Linked DNA regions of Coturnix japonica. The protein of the gene in region 2 purifies or fractionates together with the protein of the main gene of each other region. This does not show direct contact. Links are inferred from orthologs where the notes say so. Each region holds a gene or a part of one and is shown on either strand. Other genes may lie near its edges.

What was found.
Region 1: the proteins of SMC3 (region 2) and NIPBL purify together in Homo sapiens (affinity purification with western blotting; 4 studies listed by BioGRID, with this or other methods). This does not show direct contact. The link is inferred for Coturnix japonica from reciprocal best matches to the Homo sapiens genes SMC3 and NIPBL.

Annotation. Positions count from the first base shown.
Region 1 is NC_029547.1:10,336,052-10,341,256, forward strand, and holds the start of NIPBL (nipped-B-like protein), read left to right. Parts: upstream 1-2,092; 5' UTR 2,093-5,205. UniProt on the Homo sapiens protein: Plays an important role in the loading of the cohesin complex on to DNA. Forms a heterodimeric complex (also known as cohesin loading complex) with MAU2/SCC4 which mediates the loading of the cohesin complex onto chromatin.
Region 2 is NC_029521.1:22,933,904-22,938,829, reverse strand, and holds the start of SMC3 (structural maintenance of chromosomes protein 3), read right to left. Parts: upstream 3,354-4,926; 5' UTR 3,153-3,353; coding exon 3,138-3,152; intron 1,125-3,137; coding exon 1,049-1,124; intron 404-1,048; coding exon 365-403; intron 1-364. UniProt on the Homo sapiens protein: Central component of cohesin, a complex required for chromosome cohesion during the cell cycle. The cohesin complex may form a large proteinaceous ring within which sister chromatids can be trapped.

The DNA.
Region 1 (5,205 bases), on a different chromosome or scaffold from region 2:
GAATGTTCAATAGTAATTTAAAACTATAAATTAACATAATTAACAGTGCTGTACATACTGATGCTCTTTCACTGTAGTTAAGATTTGTAAACAGTTCCCACTTATCTGTAACCTTTAAGATAACCATACATGCTTGTCCTCTTATTTCTCATAATGTGTACCTTTTATGTCAAGATTTTCTATTCTGTTCTTATCTATAAGTGATGTTTAGGGAACTTAAAGGAAAACTTGTAGATATTTTAAAGAAGCAGGAAGGCAAAAACATTATTATTAACGTTAAAAATTGGAATTTAAATGCATCCTTTTGCAAAAAAAAAAAAAATTGTATTTTTTTTCATGACTAGATTATTGTGACTAGATTTTTAAGCTATGGCTATTTGAAAGTTCCATGTTAACCATTTCTAAAAAATACATTCTTCTCTCAGTCTTTGTGTTTTTCCCCCTGCAGCAGTTGCATCACCTAGGCAGAGGCATTTGTCTGTAGGTAATTGCATTGTAAAAGTCTAGGCAGCTTTTCCAAGTCATTAATTCAGTTTTCTGGACCATCTATCAAAATTTAAAACAAACAAACACAAAACAAAGGCTTTCTGCTTTAGAATGTACAACACTGGAAGTCTGTGAGAAATTAAATCTGTGACAAACTAATACTGCTTTCTGGGCCACTAATGAAGCACCCACATGTCTTCTGAAGTGGTCACCAGACCGAGCAGATGAACCAATGTTTGTCCCTGTGGGCACACTGGGAATCAAGTTGCTAATATATGTCCAGTTACAAAATTGAGTCATTCCCCTTGTCCCCTTGTCCCCATTCTTTTCTCTTCTGCATTGGAGAAAGAATTTATAAGAGGAATAGTCAGTGCTTGGAAGATACCTAGTGATGTTTTACTTATCTGTATTCCTTTTCTGTGTTTAGCTTAAAAACAATTACATTTTGCAAGTTATTTTTCAGTTGAAATTTATGTTAACATCCACAGTTTAAAGGGATGCAGAAATTCCCTTTATTTGTTTTATTGCAGTGTGTGGTTTCTGCTTTCATTCTGTGATATCCCTTCATAAAAGCTGCGAGATATCTGAGAAAGGGACATGCTTCTACTTAGAAGGCTATTTTGCCACCGTACAGGATTATTTAAGATGTCTTCGCATAAACTAATATCTAACATGATTGCCAAATTCCAGTCAACTTTCCTTTGTGAAGTGTTGCTGTTAAAAAATTGGATTTTTGTTTCAATAAAGAACTAATTGGAAATATTTAGGTGATTTGTCTATAGGTGGGGGACCACAGCTACTTGTCTGTATTCTAGTTCATCACTTCAAGGAGACTGCATTAACTCTGTGTCTAAAATGTTATGTAAATGGAACCACCACAAAATGCTCAGAAACTCTGGAAATAATTTGTCTAAAAATTGCATGTTAGTGTTTGAACGGACTTTGGCACAGGCTAAATGCATACTAGCTTGCACTCTCCCAGACAATTCCTGGGCACAGTTTGGAAATCAGTGTGAGTCAGGAACCATTACCGATGGGCAGCAGAGGCATGTGACTATATTATTTTGAATCATTAGGAGTTTAATAATGTAGGCATGAGACATTATGCTGTCAGTAGCCTTAATGCCAGACAACAGTCCCAAGTGTTTTTAACCTATGAGTTTAAGTGTATCCATTGAATATGTTGGCTGAGATAGCACTTCACTATCTGAGGAGTGGAAATTTCTCCGTTGATTTGAAGGAGCAGTTCTTAGAGGCCTAAACCCAAGAGCTCTTTTAAAATATGTGATTTAGATAATAATCTTTCTTAAATCTTCTTTTTACTGACAAGTTCATTAAAAAGGGAGCAGTAAGGCATTTTAAGTGTGATATTCTCACATTTCTTTAATCCATGCAAGTGTGGCTTTCAGCTTGTGCTGAACACAACAGTCCTTTAGGCCAATTTTTAACTTCTGTCCTTTGCCAGAAGATGAATGTCCACATTCACTTGCTGGCCATGAAGCTATATTGGTTCACCTTTATACCTTTTTAAAAATTAGAAAAAAATTAAAAAGAATTTTTAAAAAAGCTTGCTTTTCTCTTTCTTCAGGTTTCAGATTTCTTCCAATGATGATGTACAGTAACTAACCATTTTTACAAAAACAGCTTTTGCTTTGTTTATTCATATGACCCTTATACAACAGATCTGGGACAGATTAAGCAGAGTAATCCATCACTGATTTTCATTCTATTTTACTGTATCTTTCATTCTTACATGTTATAGGCTAAATTACATGTTATATATTATCTGTATTGAATAATTGGTAAATTATTCAGAATCTCAAGTTCTTTGAACAAACAAACTGACCATAAAATACCAGGGTTACATCTTCTATCACTTTTCCTTCAAAGAGAACCGTGGTTGGTTTTTTTCAAAAGATCTGTTATAAGATGCATAACCTATCCCTACACAATGAAAAGCATTAATATAGTATTTGTGTTAGAAGTTTGGAGTGAGGGGAAAAAATGGTTACTTCTGTCTGGCTTACCAAAAAGGAAAAAAGATAAAGACAGTGACCACTTAGTAAACTTGCAGCAACTACTTGTATAAATATTTTACACCTCAGTCTGCATGCTTCCTTGGATTTTTATTTTACCTGTATCACTGATTATGAATGCCATTACCTGACATTCAGACTGCTTACTTCTCAAGATGAGTATTCCCCAATGGATTAATTAAATGCTGCTATTATTTGCTCCTGTGAACTAAAGTTAATGAAAAGAACGTAACTCTGCATTACTTTGCATGCTGCATTCATAATTACATTAATCCTACTCTATTCTGTAGCCCAACCTTAGCAGCATTTTTCCAACAGCTTGAGTACTTGAGTTTAGGACAACAGCTAACAATTACATATTGCATTAATATAATGAGTTATCAACATTTTATAGGAAAGTTTCTTTCAACTACATGAGAAACGTACAGCCATGGAATCATGGAGTCATGGAATGGCTTAGGTTGAAAGGACCACCTAGTTCCAGCCTCCCTGCCGTAAGCAGGGACACTTTCCACTATATCAGGTTGTTCAAAGCCATTTATTAAAAAACAGCAACAACAAAACAAGAAAAAGCAATAAACAAATATATATCTGTGCAATAAAAATCTGTACAATAAATCTGCACAGAAATTCATACTGCTTGTAAATTACTAACAGGTAAACACAATCTTTGCGCATTCTGTTAATTACTTAAGAGGACATGCTACTGTATGTTAACCAGCCTTTAAAGAAAGCAAAATGTGGAGAAGTACAATATATTTTTCATTCATTCTAGAAAAAAAAATAATAAAAAAAATCAAATCTCAACGAGCAATTGTTAAGAAAATATTGGTTCTGGGTGTTTTTTTCACTGTAATATTACATACTGTCTATAATTTTTGAAGCTGAATAAAAACATGTAGCTGTCAGGAACTTTTACATCACATGAGGAGGGAAGAGTCCTCTCCCCTGTTTTAAACAGTGTTCAAACAGGTAATGTCTTTGCAAGCAGAAAGCCATAAAAAGCAGCAAGAATGGTAGATGTTTTGGTGGAAAGTGTTTGAGAAATATGTTTTGAATTCAATACTGTCTGCACGAAGGTATTAATTCCTGCCTTTTAAAGTTACATTAAAATTACTGAATTATGTGTTCTCTTTAAAGAACAAGAAATGAGACTCAGAATAACTGGCTGTGCAAATACTTCATTTTTATGGGAGCTCAATCATTTGTTTAGAGAAAAAATAAAACACATTCTCTCTTGACTTCAAAGGGAGCAGATTAGGCGGTAGCATTACCCTAAAATTTGCAGTTCATTTTCACAACTATATAGGTGTGGACTTCTCAGAGGAATTTAAAGAGCCTTGCCCTGCTCTACACTGCCACCAGCTTTGTTTAGTGCAATGTACATTCCTTAATGTGCCACAGTCACGGTTGTGTGACTGCATAGCTCCTCCCATACAGATTAGGACTACCTCCACCCCATGACTAAGGCCTGGAGCAGAAATAAGGTTTGAAGTATTTTTTGCTGTGCTTTCTGAAGTACTTGTTTGTACCCCATTTTGTGCCCAATTCACACAAAAAGAGATATAACTCATAAGTACTACAATATTTTCAGGACCCAGTGAGCATTCATTACATAGTAATTTGTTGTGAGTAGACTTTTGAAGACAAAGGAGATTCAGGAACACTTGTCTGAATGCAGCTGAGGAATCATTTTTAAAAGTGGATTACAGTAATATCTACTGGAATAGAACATATTTAACAGTTTAATTCCTTAAGGAAAAAAATGCTAATTTACTGACGTGTTACAATAACACTTTCTAAAACAATTAACAAATTAGTTGTTTCCTTGTGTAGGTAATAACATCATAATATTTAAACAAAATTCCAAAAGTTCTGTTAGTGAAAAAGGATTATAAAACCCTAAAATATTGCCAGTGATGTTCTCACTGGAAAATTCTGGCAGAAGCAGAAGCAGAACAGTCAGGTAGGTGTGTCTTACATGACGTTTCTACTGCCTAAACCATATTTGATATGGAAGATGCCTGGCATTTGAAAACAAGGAGTATTTACATTTTATTTACATGGTAAATCAATTAAGAAAAAAAAATATATAAATCAATAAAATCATATAAGCACTCCAACAACATGAAATATTTACAGTAAGGTGGAAGTAGATTGAAGGTAACCCGTCTGCAGCCTTGCCCTTTTAGACTCAAATTTTCCTTTGAATTCACATTTAAGTTGACATAATACATGTATGTAGCCTCGAAATAGGTAGATTTTAAAATTCATCTTAAAAAAAAAAAATTATATATTTTCCCCCTCATCTTGCAGAGTTGCTCTGTATTAAATAAAGCATGAAGATTTATGAACATGCTTCATCTGCTAAACTAATTATTAAAAATGGATAATTTGAAATTATAAATGCACAAACAGTTGTAGGGTTGGGGCCTTTTATGTTGACATATAACAAAGACATGTAATTAATAGATTTCTTTCAGAATCTGGTTTACTTTGTTTCCTTTAAACCCATTAGGTTGAATTACGGTGTTCTCCAGTGCTGTCTTCATTTTTGTACTTTGAAACAAATACACTTGTAAAACAAACTTTGATTAATCCAACAGAACAATTTAGTAGTGAAGCTTGAGCAAGACTTGAAATCTGCCTTAAAGATGGAGCATTGATCAGGAAATTGTTTGGA
Region 2 (4,926 bases):
CATACAGCCACTGCGTAGTATCTCTTGCCTCTTCGAAGCTCCACCATTGACACATCCACAAAATCCCCACCACAATCATATGTTAAAAGCTATACCATAAATTTAGCCACTAAGAATGTCTGAAGTAACTGCAAATATTACTAACAGTTTCCAGCATGGCATTATTTGGAATCCATTTCCACCTGTAGACCCCTTTTTGGCACTGCAAATATTAGAATGCTCTTAAGAGAAACTGACTATCATCTCTGTCAAGTCACAACCACACCTTGAAGAACATTTGGATGATCAACCTCAACACAAAACAAAAAAGAAGCCACTACTATTGCCTTTATCCTAATATTATATAAAAAAAATCACTCCTTACCATAAAAGAAGTTGCTTTTTCCTGATCCATTTCTTCCCACTGAAAATTAAAACACAAAGTATATAGCCACAAATTGAAATCAATGAACAACCCACATGCTAATTCAGAAATGTTTTGTTTTAAACAGACCAGAAAAATATGATTTCTATTAAAAAAAAATAAAGGTTTAAGAATATTCTGATGTTTTAGTAAAGGCTCAGTGTCTCATCTTTAAGACCAATATTGACTGTATAAGTTCAGAACAGCTTCCCTTCTAGCAATGAAACATCCAAGGCTTTTCATGTTCTCTGCATCAATCATTGCTACCGTATTGCCTCCAAAGCCCTTCAGCTTCACTCATCCCCTCACATATCTGAGATTATCAGGAGTTACTTCAAAAAGCCCAGTCTCTTAAATGAGGACTGTCCAGTATGGACATCTATACATACAAAGGTGCTCACAGTTCACTTCTCACTCAGTTCCTATGGAATCACTCTGAGGTCACAGTAAAAATGAACACTAGATTGCTTTGCCATAAACATGCTGTAATATGCCTTGTAAAATTAACAGACAACTGTAAAAAAGCTTCCAGTGCAGAAATTACAAAGTAATCAAACATAGGAAGAATATAAACAGTTAAGGACTCATTTGACCATGATCTGATGCAATTTTAATTAGTGTGAAAAAACAGATATTGGAACTCACCAATGACATTGTGTTTTGAGCTGAATGGATCCACAATGGTTTGGTCTCGGTAGCTTCGAAAGCCCTGAATGATTACCTATGGAGTAAAGCGACAGAATTACCTCTGCTCTTAAGCACTTTTTAAACCTCAAGATATTACACAACATTCACATCACTTATGATACAGAATCACAGAATGACCCGGGTTGGAAGGGACCTCAAGGATCATGTAGTTCCAACCCCCCTGCCTGGCAGGGCCACCAAACATACACATTTACTAGATCAGGTTGCCCAGGGCCCCGTCCAACCTGGCCTTGAACACCTCCAAGACCACTTGATACACTTGATGTCTTTTCCCTAATCCTGTCAGCTCTCAAGCTCAAGACCAGTATCTTGTATTATGAGACTTGGCCTCCACCTAAGCATCATTTTATGAACTGAGATTTTTTCTCTCTGCTCAAAAAAGATACTGGCACATATCTAGGTCAAAGCAAGACCTAGGAGCAAGACAGACTTGTTTTTTCTTTAGGCTGCACAGTAACACAAAGAAAGTGAAAGGCAGAAATATTGGTTCTGTTGAATTTGCTTCCTAAACAAACATATACAACCTACACAATGAATTTAGCTAAAGAGCTACACAGCAAACACTAGTCTATAAGTACAACTATCCAATTTTAGTCTAGAATGACTGTATCTGAATACTTTAGTTCCATGCAGCAGCAAAACTGATCCGGCTTCCAGCACAGCTCAGCATTAATCAGCCCTTTTCAATCATCAAAGCTGTGCTGAAAGGACTCTGCATCAGCTTTCCTCAATCTGACATATATAACAATGTGACATCTGAATAACAGCCGCCTGAAAAGCTGCAGATCTTTTAGGAAGACCACTTCAAAATGGACTAGAACTGACATTCAGTCCCTGTGCCCTTCCTTAGCATTTCACCACCAGAAGATCTTGTTAAAACCTCACTGACGTTTCACCATCAAAACTAACGTAAAAAGGAAGAATTAGCAACTAGGAAGAAAACAAAACATGTTATGAGATTTCTTAACAGTGTAAGTTTAGAAAGCAAAATGAAACTCTGGACCTGCACTGTATTCAGGTCTAGATATAAGGTAACCATACTGGAAGTAATCAAGGATATTAGTATTTAATGGATCAAAGTATAGAACACAAGTTTGGGACCGTGTACTGGCTGATGACTGCTCAAACACTGTGGCTGTTCACAGAAGATCTGACGCCTGACCCTATAAGTACTGGCTGGCTCCATCTACCAGATGGGAGATCCTCACAGTAACAGTAAGCTCTGCCTTGGTACCAATGGCTTTCAAAAAGTCTGTAGGGCTTTTTCTTATCTGAAGTACTGCAACATGCATCATATATTAAACATGCATCTGAACCAGTGACACAGGTGTACTAAAACAGTACCAAAAGGCATCTGCAAACGCTCCCGTGTCGACAAACAACTGATGAAAACCTGATCTCCATGAAGAATGTGTGCTTCCAAACATAGTCTGAAGCATTATACGCAATGGGTGTCAGAAGGCCTAATTAATTTTGAGTGCAGAGAGAAGTAAGAATCCTAGCAGGCTTCAGATGAACGTACAGAGATAGCAGTAAGAACGAGGACAAAAACTTCGACGGCGATGTGCAGCATATATAACTAGTGCAGGGATACGCTAACAGCAACAATAATGCGAGTCACAGCCTTAAAAACTGTTAGGAGAAGGCCCACACAAGGACTTCATTTATCTGAACATCAGCTGCTGGGTGCTTGTCAGGGACGAAGCGCACAGCTGGAATGGTCAGTGCTCGGCGGGCCAGGCTCCACCCCAGCACCAACAGCACAGTGTCCAGGCCGGCCGTGCCCTGCAGGGCCGGGACACTGTGGTCGCCCCGTCCGAAGGTCCCCAGGGCCCGCAGCGCAGCCCTCGCTCCACCACCACGCACCGCAATGAATGGAAACGGCCGACGGAGCACGGGACCGCCGCCCAAGGGCCCCGCGAGCACCCGAGCAGAGGCCGCAAGGCCCCGCCACGCGCCTCCCCTCCGGGCCGGGCCCGTTCTATCTCCGGAGCGGGGCAGGCCGCAGCAGGCCCCTCCGCCGTACCTGCTTGATGTACATGGCTGCCGAGGATGGGGGAGGGAGGCAGCCGCCCCGCCGCCTCCTGCTGCCGTCTCGCAGCCCACCCGGACCGCCTCCTCCCGGTACGACGGCTCCGAGCGACTCCGGGCCCCCGTTGCCGCCTCCTCCCGCCCCGTCCGGCCGCCACACAGAGCTCGGCGCGGAGCCCCGCTCACCCCTCACGAAACAAAATGGCGGCGGAGCCACCCCTGCCCGTCCCGGCGCGAACCACTCGGCACAGTGCGGAGGGGGAGAGCGGAGAAGAGATCTCACCCCACCCTGGCCGGAGAAGGCGCCAGGCAGTAGACACTAAAAATATCGCCTTTTTTATCAGATTTCAATATCTCTTTAGCTTTTTAAGGAGCTCTAAGGCGAAGCAGCCGTCCGAAACCGCCCGTCCTCACCTACCGAATCCCCCCAGAGAGCGCGGAAATGTGGTTTCTCCCGCTGGGGGGCGGGTTGGGCGCCAAAGGCAAGTGTGAGCAGAGCGGGGCCGCAACGCCGACAGGGAGGAGTGCAGCCTCCCGCCTGCAGGGGGCGCTGCCACGGTCGGGGCCGCCTCAGAATCACAGAGTGACCCGGGTTGGAAGGGACCTCAAGGATCATGTAGTTCCAACCCCCTGCCTGGCAGGGCCACCAAACATACACCTTTACTAGATCAGGTTGCCCAGGGCCCCGTCCAACCTGGTCTTGAACACCTCCAAGGACGGGGCATCCACAACCTCCCTGGGCAGCCTGTTCCAGGGCCTAACCACTCTCCTAGTGAAGAACTTTCCCCTAACATCCAACCTAAATCTTCCCTCTTTTAACTTAAAACCATTTCCCCGTGTCCTGCTATTGTCAGCCCTTTCGAAGAGTTTACTCCCCTCCTGGGAGTAAGTTCCCTTCAGGTATTGAAAGGCTGCAATGAGGTCACCCCGCAACCTTCTCTTCTCCAGGCTGAACAAACCCAACTCCCTCAGCCTGTCCTCATAGGGGAGGTGCTCCAGCCCCCTGATCATCTTCCTGTCCCTCCTCTGGACCCTTTCCAAAATCTCCATGTCTTTTTTGTACTGAGGGCTCCACACCTGGACGCCGTTTAGGACATCCTTTGCCCAAAAGCTCATTGCAAACATGTGAAAAAAGCCATATGCATTTCTTAGACTGAGCTCTATATCACTATACCTGATAGAAGGCAGAGACATGCGGGTAAACCTGCAAGAAGGACTTAGAAAGAAATCCAGGTTCACTCAAGCTGCAAAAGGCTTCTTGCATGAGCAGAGCCACAACAGCAAAGATCTGCTTTGTAGCAGCAGAGCTGTAACATTCTCTGCAGGAGAAAGGAGCTTTGATGAGGAAAAAACAGCTCCCTGCTACAATCCTTTTATGTGTACTGTAGGGATCCTCTTGGTCAGCGTGGTCAGTTCAGGTCTCCCTCACTTTGTTATGATTTAACAAATAGTAACTGTACCAGCAGAGGTGCACAGAGCCAACTACAGCACTTGCCCTCCAAAGCCAGGGGCAGAGCCCATGTCCAGCCCACAGCACCTGACCCCTGTGCTGTCTGTTAGCCATGATAATTGCTCGGGGCAACACAAACATTGCCTAGGAGACCACAGGTGGGAAGCATCTCTAGGAGATGAATGTGCACAGCTCTGCTCTATCCCAGCTAGAAATCTGCTGCTTCTTGGCAAGGCTCTCTGGGCTCAGCTGGATAGCAGCTAATGGTCATGCTGGAGTTCATGTCAATTGATTTTCCAGTTAACTTGACTTAACGTGACTGGAGGCGTTACAT